Linked DNA regions of Coturnix japonica. The protein of the gene in region 1 purifies or fractionates together with the protein of each later gene. This does not show direct contact. Links are inferred from orthologs where the notes say so. Each region holds a gene or a part of one and is shown in the gene's direction. Other genes may lie near its edges.

Region 1 (4,402 bases):
TGCCCTAGTCTGCAAGTACAGCATGTGATTCCTCATTTCCAATGGCCTCACAGTAGCTGTCTGACAGTAGTCAGAGATTTTCCACACCCTTCTTTGAAAAATATAGGGCCCAACCTCACATGGCTTGCACGTCCAGAATTCCTGCTAACTGCAAAGGGAATCTCTTCCATATAAAGATACAAGACTGGATTCTCAATGGAAAATTAAGTAAACACATTGAGGGTGGCCCTCCCATAAAAACATGCAGACATGAAAGAGCTCATTCCCATCCTTCTTTAGGAGTATCTTTACAATTTATCCATGAAGTTCTATTATAATGGAACGTGGTGTTTTAAATGTGCAATATCTGGCATAGGTACAATATAGCATTTACATTTTGCCAGAGAAGCTCCATGAAGTATGAAAGCAAACAATAAGGGAACACTCCTCCCCATAAATTAGCAGAAAGAAACTGAACATTAAAAGAAAAACAGGGAAATGAAGATGGAAATGATCTGAACACTCACTGTTCTGGATTTTCAGTGTGATATTTGAAACACAGCAAAGACAATGATGGGCAGCATTCGATTTCTCTAATTGCTGATGACTGCTCCCTTGGATCTGTTGGATCTGCAAGGAGAAACGAGTCATTCTTGAAGATCAGCTGCCATCTAGTGAATGTCGTGAAAATCGTGTTGGGTTTTGTTTTGCTTTTGGTCTTCTTGTTGATTTTGGGGGGTGACTGACAGTTTAAACTAGATTTTTGGTGGTAGATCTGTTTGTCAGGAGTGAATTTGGGGTGTGTAAAAGTTCTGGGAGCGATGGCTACTCAAAGGTACACATTCCAATCCAGGGCAGCCACTCAGCAGTGCATCCCATAAAAATTCTTAAATAAGGTTTTCATCCTACCAGAACAAAACAAAACAAGGCGATTTTTCACACTTTCAAAAAGCTGTATTAATGATTTCTGGGCTCTGCTTCCTTATAATGAGTTCCTATGAAGTATTTAGAACTAGCTGAGCTAACAACATTCAGATTGCCTCTTTTTGTTTGTACTGGTTACTGTTCTGTACTGGCTCACACAGGGCCATGGTAAAGGACACCGTCAGAAGGATTTCCTTATGCTTTTCTGCAGGAGCCTTCGGAACACACCTTGACAGCCCTGTCCTGCAGGGCATCCCTCCCTGCCCCGTGTGATCACAGTGTGTGGGGTCTCAATTGGAGTCTGTGCGTATTACTTTACTCACAATTAAGCTACTCGCTGGACTGAAATCACGCACACTGCAGATTTCACTGGCGATGATGCTTTTCTCTCTCAGCCCAGCAGGTTCGTACGCTACTGTGAAGGTAACGCCGGGCAGGGCTCTCGGGAAGGAGGCGGCTCCCAAGTGCTCCGTGGAGGCGGGGATGTGTGAGGGGAGGCGGGGAGGTGCGAGGGTTGGTTGTGGATGCCCCGTCCTTGGAGGTGCTCAAGGCCAGGTTGGACGGGGCCCTGGGCAACCTGATCTAGTAAAGGTGTATGTTTGGTGGCCCTGCCGGGCAGGGGGTTGGAACTACATGATCCTTGAGGTCCCTTCCAACCCGGGTCACTCTGTGACTCTGTGTGCTGGGAGGCGGGGCCGCGGCTGCGCCCTTCGTGGCGGTTGTTGGCGCGTGCTCGTGCCGCCATGGATCCCGTGTCCCTCAGGCTGCTCCCTCCGGACCCGAGGGATGAGGGCACGCAGCGGTGCCGGCTGGGCCCCGCCGCCCTCTCGTCCCTCGGGGTCGTGCTGGGCGCTCCGCTGCGGATCTCGCTGCCATCCGGGTGCTGTCTGTGCACCGCGTGGCCGCGGCCGGACCTGGCGGACGGGTACGTGCAGGCGGACCCGGCCTGTAGCACCGGGCTGACATTGGCAGCGCTGCGCGAGCTGTCGCTGAGCCCCGGCTGCTTCCAGCCGCTGTCCGCCCGCCGCCTGCGGGGAGCTGCGGTGCGTGTGGTGCTGCGGGGCGGGGCAGCCAGGCGGGCTGCGGGGCTGCAGGAGGCGGTGCGGGACCTGCTGAGCAACCTCTACGTCTCCCCTCACTACGTTGTTACCGTCGGCCCTAATGTCCGCACTCCCGTGGTGCACATAGAGATCCTGTCTGTAGAGCCCGCGACTGAGGAGGCCGGGCTGATAACCTCGCAGACAAATGTAACGATTAAAGAGGTGATGGCGTTAGAACGGTACAGGCTCTTAACGGAAGAGACAGCAAAAATTCCTGTGGCTGGGCTGGACGATGTGAGGGAGTCTCTGATAGAAATGGTGGACCTGCCGTTCCGCTTCCCAAGGACGTTTAACAAGTTGGGGCTTCCCGTCCCCAATGGGGTGCTGCTGGTGGGCCCTCCAGGCGTGGGGAAAACGCTCCTGGTGAAGGCGGTGGCGAGAGATGTGGGTGCGGATCTGCTGTGCATCAGCGGCCCGGCGCTGTGCGGCTCCAGGCCGGGGGAAAGCGAAGAGAATTTGCGACGTGTCTTTGAGAAGGGCAGGGAGATGTCCTGGGAAGGGCCCACGCTTCTGTTTATTGATGAGATCGACGCTTTGTGCCCAAAACGAGGGAGTTCCAACAGCGCTCCTGAGGATCGCCTTGTGGCTCAGCTGCTAACGCTGCTGGATGGTGTCGGTCGTAAGGACAGGATGGTCGTTGTGGCAGCGACAAACAGGCCTGACGCCTTGGATCCCGCACTGAGAAGACCAGGCAGGTTTGACAGAGAAGTAAGCAGACATTGCTGTCCGTGCTCAGTCCTCTTTTCTTCCTGTTTAAGGGAGGTGTCATGGGGCTGGTTAGTAAAGACAAGCCCGCAGTTCACATAGTCAACCTTGAAGATGCTTTTGCTCTTGGCTTGTGTTTTACAGAACGTGTTCAATTAAATAAACCTGTTATCTAATTCAGCCTTTGAGAACAATGAAATAATAACCTAATTGCTAAGTCAGATGTTTCTATTACCTTAAAACAGGATTCGATGGACAGTAACTCATAGTGTCTTATGAACAACTGATTATACAACTATTCACTTGGAAAGTAGGCATAAATTAAAGATGCTTTAAATATCTGTAATCTATTATTAAGCTTCTCCTAAATTCTTTGGTTGTAATGTAAGTATGTATAAATCCTTAGTAGTTGGTTTAAAGTGGAGACAAATTTGCGTGGCCAGGTTGACAAAATGACAGGAATATGGTGAAGTAACTATTGAAAATTTCATCTTCTTTGGATCAGGTTATTATTGGGACCCCGACGCTTACGCAGAGGAGATCCATCCTGCAGATGCTCACCTGTAGCATGCCCATTTCTGCAGACATTGATTTGGTTAAACTGGCAGAGATGACAACTGGGTACGTTGGAGCTGACCTTACAGCGCTCTGCAGAGAAGCTGCCATGCAGGCTGTGTTCCACAGCTCCTTGGTATGGTTGTAAATAAAGATGAAAGTCATGGTTATTATCTAACACCCTTTCTCCATTAGCACTTAGTTTTACTTGAAAATCTGAACAAGATGAGGAATTCAGAAGTTAAAGTGTTGTAAATGTAATTGAAAATAGTGAAATAATTTGAGCCTGGTATCCTGGGAAGACAGAGATGGGCAAATAAAAATAATCAACAAGTAGATGGGCTGTTTGCCACGAGAACTGCAAGCTCCTTGGTAAAGCATATCACAATACTTCTGTTATTGCATCTGTCATTTAAGATTGGAACTTGCAGTCTGCTTGAGGGTTATGAATGTTGGACCTTTTTGATTATTTAAAAGAATATGGGAATTCGTGTGTAGTAACCCTGAATTAGCATCTGTTTAACTTAGTTGGAGCTGTGATTTAGGGAGAAAAGTAATTTTCTGTCGAACACACAAGTCTGATAAAATTGTTCTTTCCTTATAAGATCTTGCCACAAAGAGTGTATATTCTGTCTTGTTACATCTTTGTGTATACACTGTTGGAGCTTGTTAGGGTGGGAAGTTTAGTGATTATGGCTGTCTTTGGCCTTTTGTGAAGCGTTTTATGTGCTAATAAAGCTTTATAATTTATGATGTGAAAATGTGGCTAATACACTGTGTTTTCCTTCAGGATTCAGCTGAAGTGCTGATTAACATGTCAGATTTCCAAGAAGCTTTTAAAAGAATTCAGCCATCCTCTTTTCGAAGTGCAATTGGACTCAAAGAATGTAAACCCGTCACTTGGGAGCAGATTGGTGGTCTTGAAGATGTGAAGTTGAAGTTAAAACAGGTAAGGTGTAAATGCGTTTAGGTCAAGAGAGTTTCTGATGGCCTGTTCTTCAAACTGTTCTGTGTGTTATGTTGCAGAAGTGCTTTATCATGCAAATTTTTAGTATTATTTTCTACTACATTAAATGACAAGCACTGTAATAATTTAGCATCTCAAGATAGGAGCAGCAAGCATAACACAATGAAATAAT
Region 2 (2,865 bases), on another chromosome or scaffold:
GAACGTGTGAGAACCTTTTTCTTTTGTGCACTAAGAAGATCCAATGCTGTGTGCCAACACTGTGTGTTGTGAGCACTCGAGGCACTTCTCTCCCTTCCTTAAGCCATTCATTCTCTATTTTCTTTTTACAATCTCTGTGAATCCGTGTTCCATTCTGGATTTCATTGCCACTGTTGGGTCCAAACCACGAGCCCTGTGCACGCAGGGGGTGGAGCTTTGTTGTAACCCAGTGAGTGGAAGGTGGGACCGTGATTGCATTATTGGATTCCTGTTGGAGCTGACAAATGGGAGGTGGCCGTTTGTCCAATGTCTGACATGGCCTGGGAAACAGAATTTTGAATTGCCCTTCAATGTGCTTAGCTTTAAACCACTTTAAATAATTTAAGTGTTTGTTTTTTTTATACAAATCATATTTACATGCAATTATCATTTGTAAGCGTAATGCCTTCCTTGAAATGCTAACGGCTACAGCGTGAATGGGGCAAATGGCTCCATTCAGAACCACACGAGCAGCAGGTGACGCTCAGTAACTGGACGCTCAGTGCAGGGGGTGGCGGATGGACCCACGTTTCCCTGTTTATTGTTATCAAAGCGATGATCCTTTGTAAGGTAAATGCTGCTGTGCATCAGCTGCCCACGTTCATCACACTAAAACCATGAGCAATAACCCATCTCAAAGCAAGGTCAGGCCACAATGCTGTACAGCTGGGCGGGCTGTTCAACCCTGTTCATAACAATGACGGTGATGCCTCGTGATCCAGTTGTGGGTTTGGTTCTGCATCCCCACGCAGTTCAAAACGCTCATTCTATTTAATGGCAGGAATAGTGATGCAGTGTGTGAATATGATGGGAGCGTTCCATGCAGCTCATGGTGCTGCATCGTGCTCTGGGCGTTACCATTTCACATCGTTGTGGGATTATTTTCTTTCTTTCTCTTTAGGATATGCATGCCAAACGTCGTGTCTTTTACAATGATTTGTAATATACATTTTAAGACTGGAAACTTTTTGTACAACACACTCAAATAAATGTTTTGCATTTTATTGGTTTCCTTTTGTCTGATCAATGATGAGGGAGGGGGGGCTGGAAAGGGGCCTTGTGCTGATGGACAGTGATGGACATGGGCTGAATGGGAGCCAGCACTGCGTCCAGGTGCCCGAGGGGACAAATGGCGGCCGGGCTGTTGTCAGCGATGGGAGCAGGACTGAGACTGAGCCCCGGGCGCTGCTGGGCGCTGCTCACACCGAGCACCGCGAGCTGCGACCCGCGGCCACGCGGTGCCGCCCAGCTCAGCTCCGCGCTGCCGCCGCGGGGACGCGCACGGCCGCTGTTCCGGTCCGTTCCTGTCCGTTCTGTTCCGTTCCGTTCTGTTCCGGTCTGTTCCGGTCCGATCTGTTCCGTTCCGTTCTGTTCCGTTCCGGGCCACGCGGGGCGCCGGGAGCCGTAGTTCTTGGGCCGCCATTGCGCTGCCGCCCCGCCGGGACCGCGAGCCATGGAGGGCGGCTTCGGCTCCGACTTCGGTTCCGATTTCGGCTCCGGTGCCGGCGGGGGAGGCAAGTTGGACCCGGGGCTCATCATGGAGCAGGTGAAGGTGCAGATCGCCGTGGCCAACGCGCAGGAGCTGCTGCAGGTCGGGACCGGCGGGGACGGAGCCGCGGCAGCACGGGGGGGGGGGGGGGGGGGGGGGGGGGGGGGGGGCTGGGGGTCGTTGTGCCCGCGGCTGCTGACGGCTGTTCCCGCAGCGAATGACGGACAAATGCTTTCGGAAATGCATCGGGAAACCCGGCGGGGCGCTGGACAACTCGGAGCAGGTGAGCGGGGCGGGGGGACGCGGCGCGGGGCGGGCGGCGACCCCCGGGATCCTCCATGACCGCCCCGTGTGCCGCAGAAATGCATCGCCATGTGCATGGACCGGTACATGGACGCCTGGAACGCGGTGTCCAGAGCCTACAACTCCCGGCTGCAGCGGGAGAGAGCCAACATGTGAAAGACAACATGTGAGAGAGAGAGATAACATGTGAGAGAGCCGACATGGGAGAGAGAGAGATAACATGTGAGAGAGACAACATGGGAGAGACCAACATGTGAGACGGGTCGGAGCGCGGAGCCGGCGGCAATAAACCCCGTTACACCGCCCTGACCCTGCGCTGCCTCCGGCTTTTATTGCACCGAGAGGTTCCGCCCTGAGCCCGGTGCCGGGTGATGGGCGCAGTGTGGGGGGGGGGCAGGGCTTCCTGCCGGCTGCACCGAGTTCAGGCCGGGAAGGGCAGCTGTTAATGCACAGGATGTCGCCAGGTCTGAAGGTGGGACAAGTCTCATTTATTTATAGACAAAAACCAAAGTCTAGCCATCTTTCTAAGCAAAGCAGTTATCAGATGGTCCCGCTGTCTGCGGGTCACAGCACACGAGCGTTTGCTTCGTGCTCGCAGCCCATCTTCACTCCTTTGCAGCATCCCAGAGGTGTCCGGTGGTGCTGGTGGGCTCCGTGCGGCCCCTGGCCATTATTCCTCTCGTTGGCACCTTCCCTGAGTGGTGAAATTCAGCTCCAGAGCTTGAGGTTCTGCGCGATCCAGCCCTGCACCGCGGTGACTTTGGTGTAGACCCCAGGGAAGAACGGCCGGGCGCAGCCATAGCCCCAGCTCGTGATTCCTGCTAGAAACCACCGTCCTGAGGGTTCTTTACATGCCAGGGGCCCACCTGCATCACCCTGCAGAGAGAGGGGAAGGGTCCTGTACCAAAACAAGACAACAGAGCCAGCCCAGCCCCGTGCTTATGATTCTGCTGTCTGATGCAGGAACATTTGCTGTCCCGTTGCCCACCTCTGCAGGAGCCCAGTGCTGCATTTGTGTGCACAGAGACTGGGAC

What was found.
Region 2: the proteins of SPATA5L1 (region 1) and TIMM13 purify together in Homo sapiens (co-immunoprecipitation; 3 studies listed by BioGRID and IntAct, with this or other methods). This does not show direct contact. The link is inferred for Coturnix japonica from reciprocal best matches to the Homo sapiens genes AFG2B and TIMM13.

What each region holds. Positions count from the first base shown.
Region 1 is NC_029525.1:9,450,752-9,455,153, forward strand, and holds the start of SPATA5L1 (spermatogenesis-associated protein 5-like protein 1), read left to right. Parts: upstream 1-1,597; 5' UTR 1,598-1,646; coding exon 1,647-2,711; intron 2,712-3,213; coding exon 3,214-3,399; intron 3,400-4,053; coding exon 4,054-4,212; intron 4,213-4,402. UniProt on the Homo sapiens protein: ATP-dependent chaperone part of the 55LCC heterohexameric ATPase complex which is chromatin-associated and promotes replisome proteostasis to maintain replication fork progression and genome stability.
Region 2 is NC_029543.1:222,337-225,201, reverse strand, and holds TIMM13 (mitochondrial import inner membrane translocase subunit Tim13), read left to right. Parts: upstream 1-1,393; 5' UTR 1,394-1,492; coding exon 1,493-1,630; intron 1,631-1,742; coding exon 1,743-1,811; intron 1,812-1,888; coding exon 1,889-1,987; 3' UTR 1,988-2,140; downstream 2,141-2,865. UniProt on the Homo sapiens protein: Mitochondrial intermembrane chaperone that participates in the import and insertion of some multi-pass transmembrane proteins into the mitochondrial inner membrane.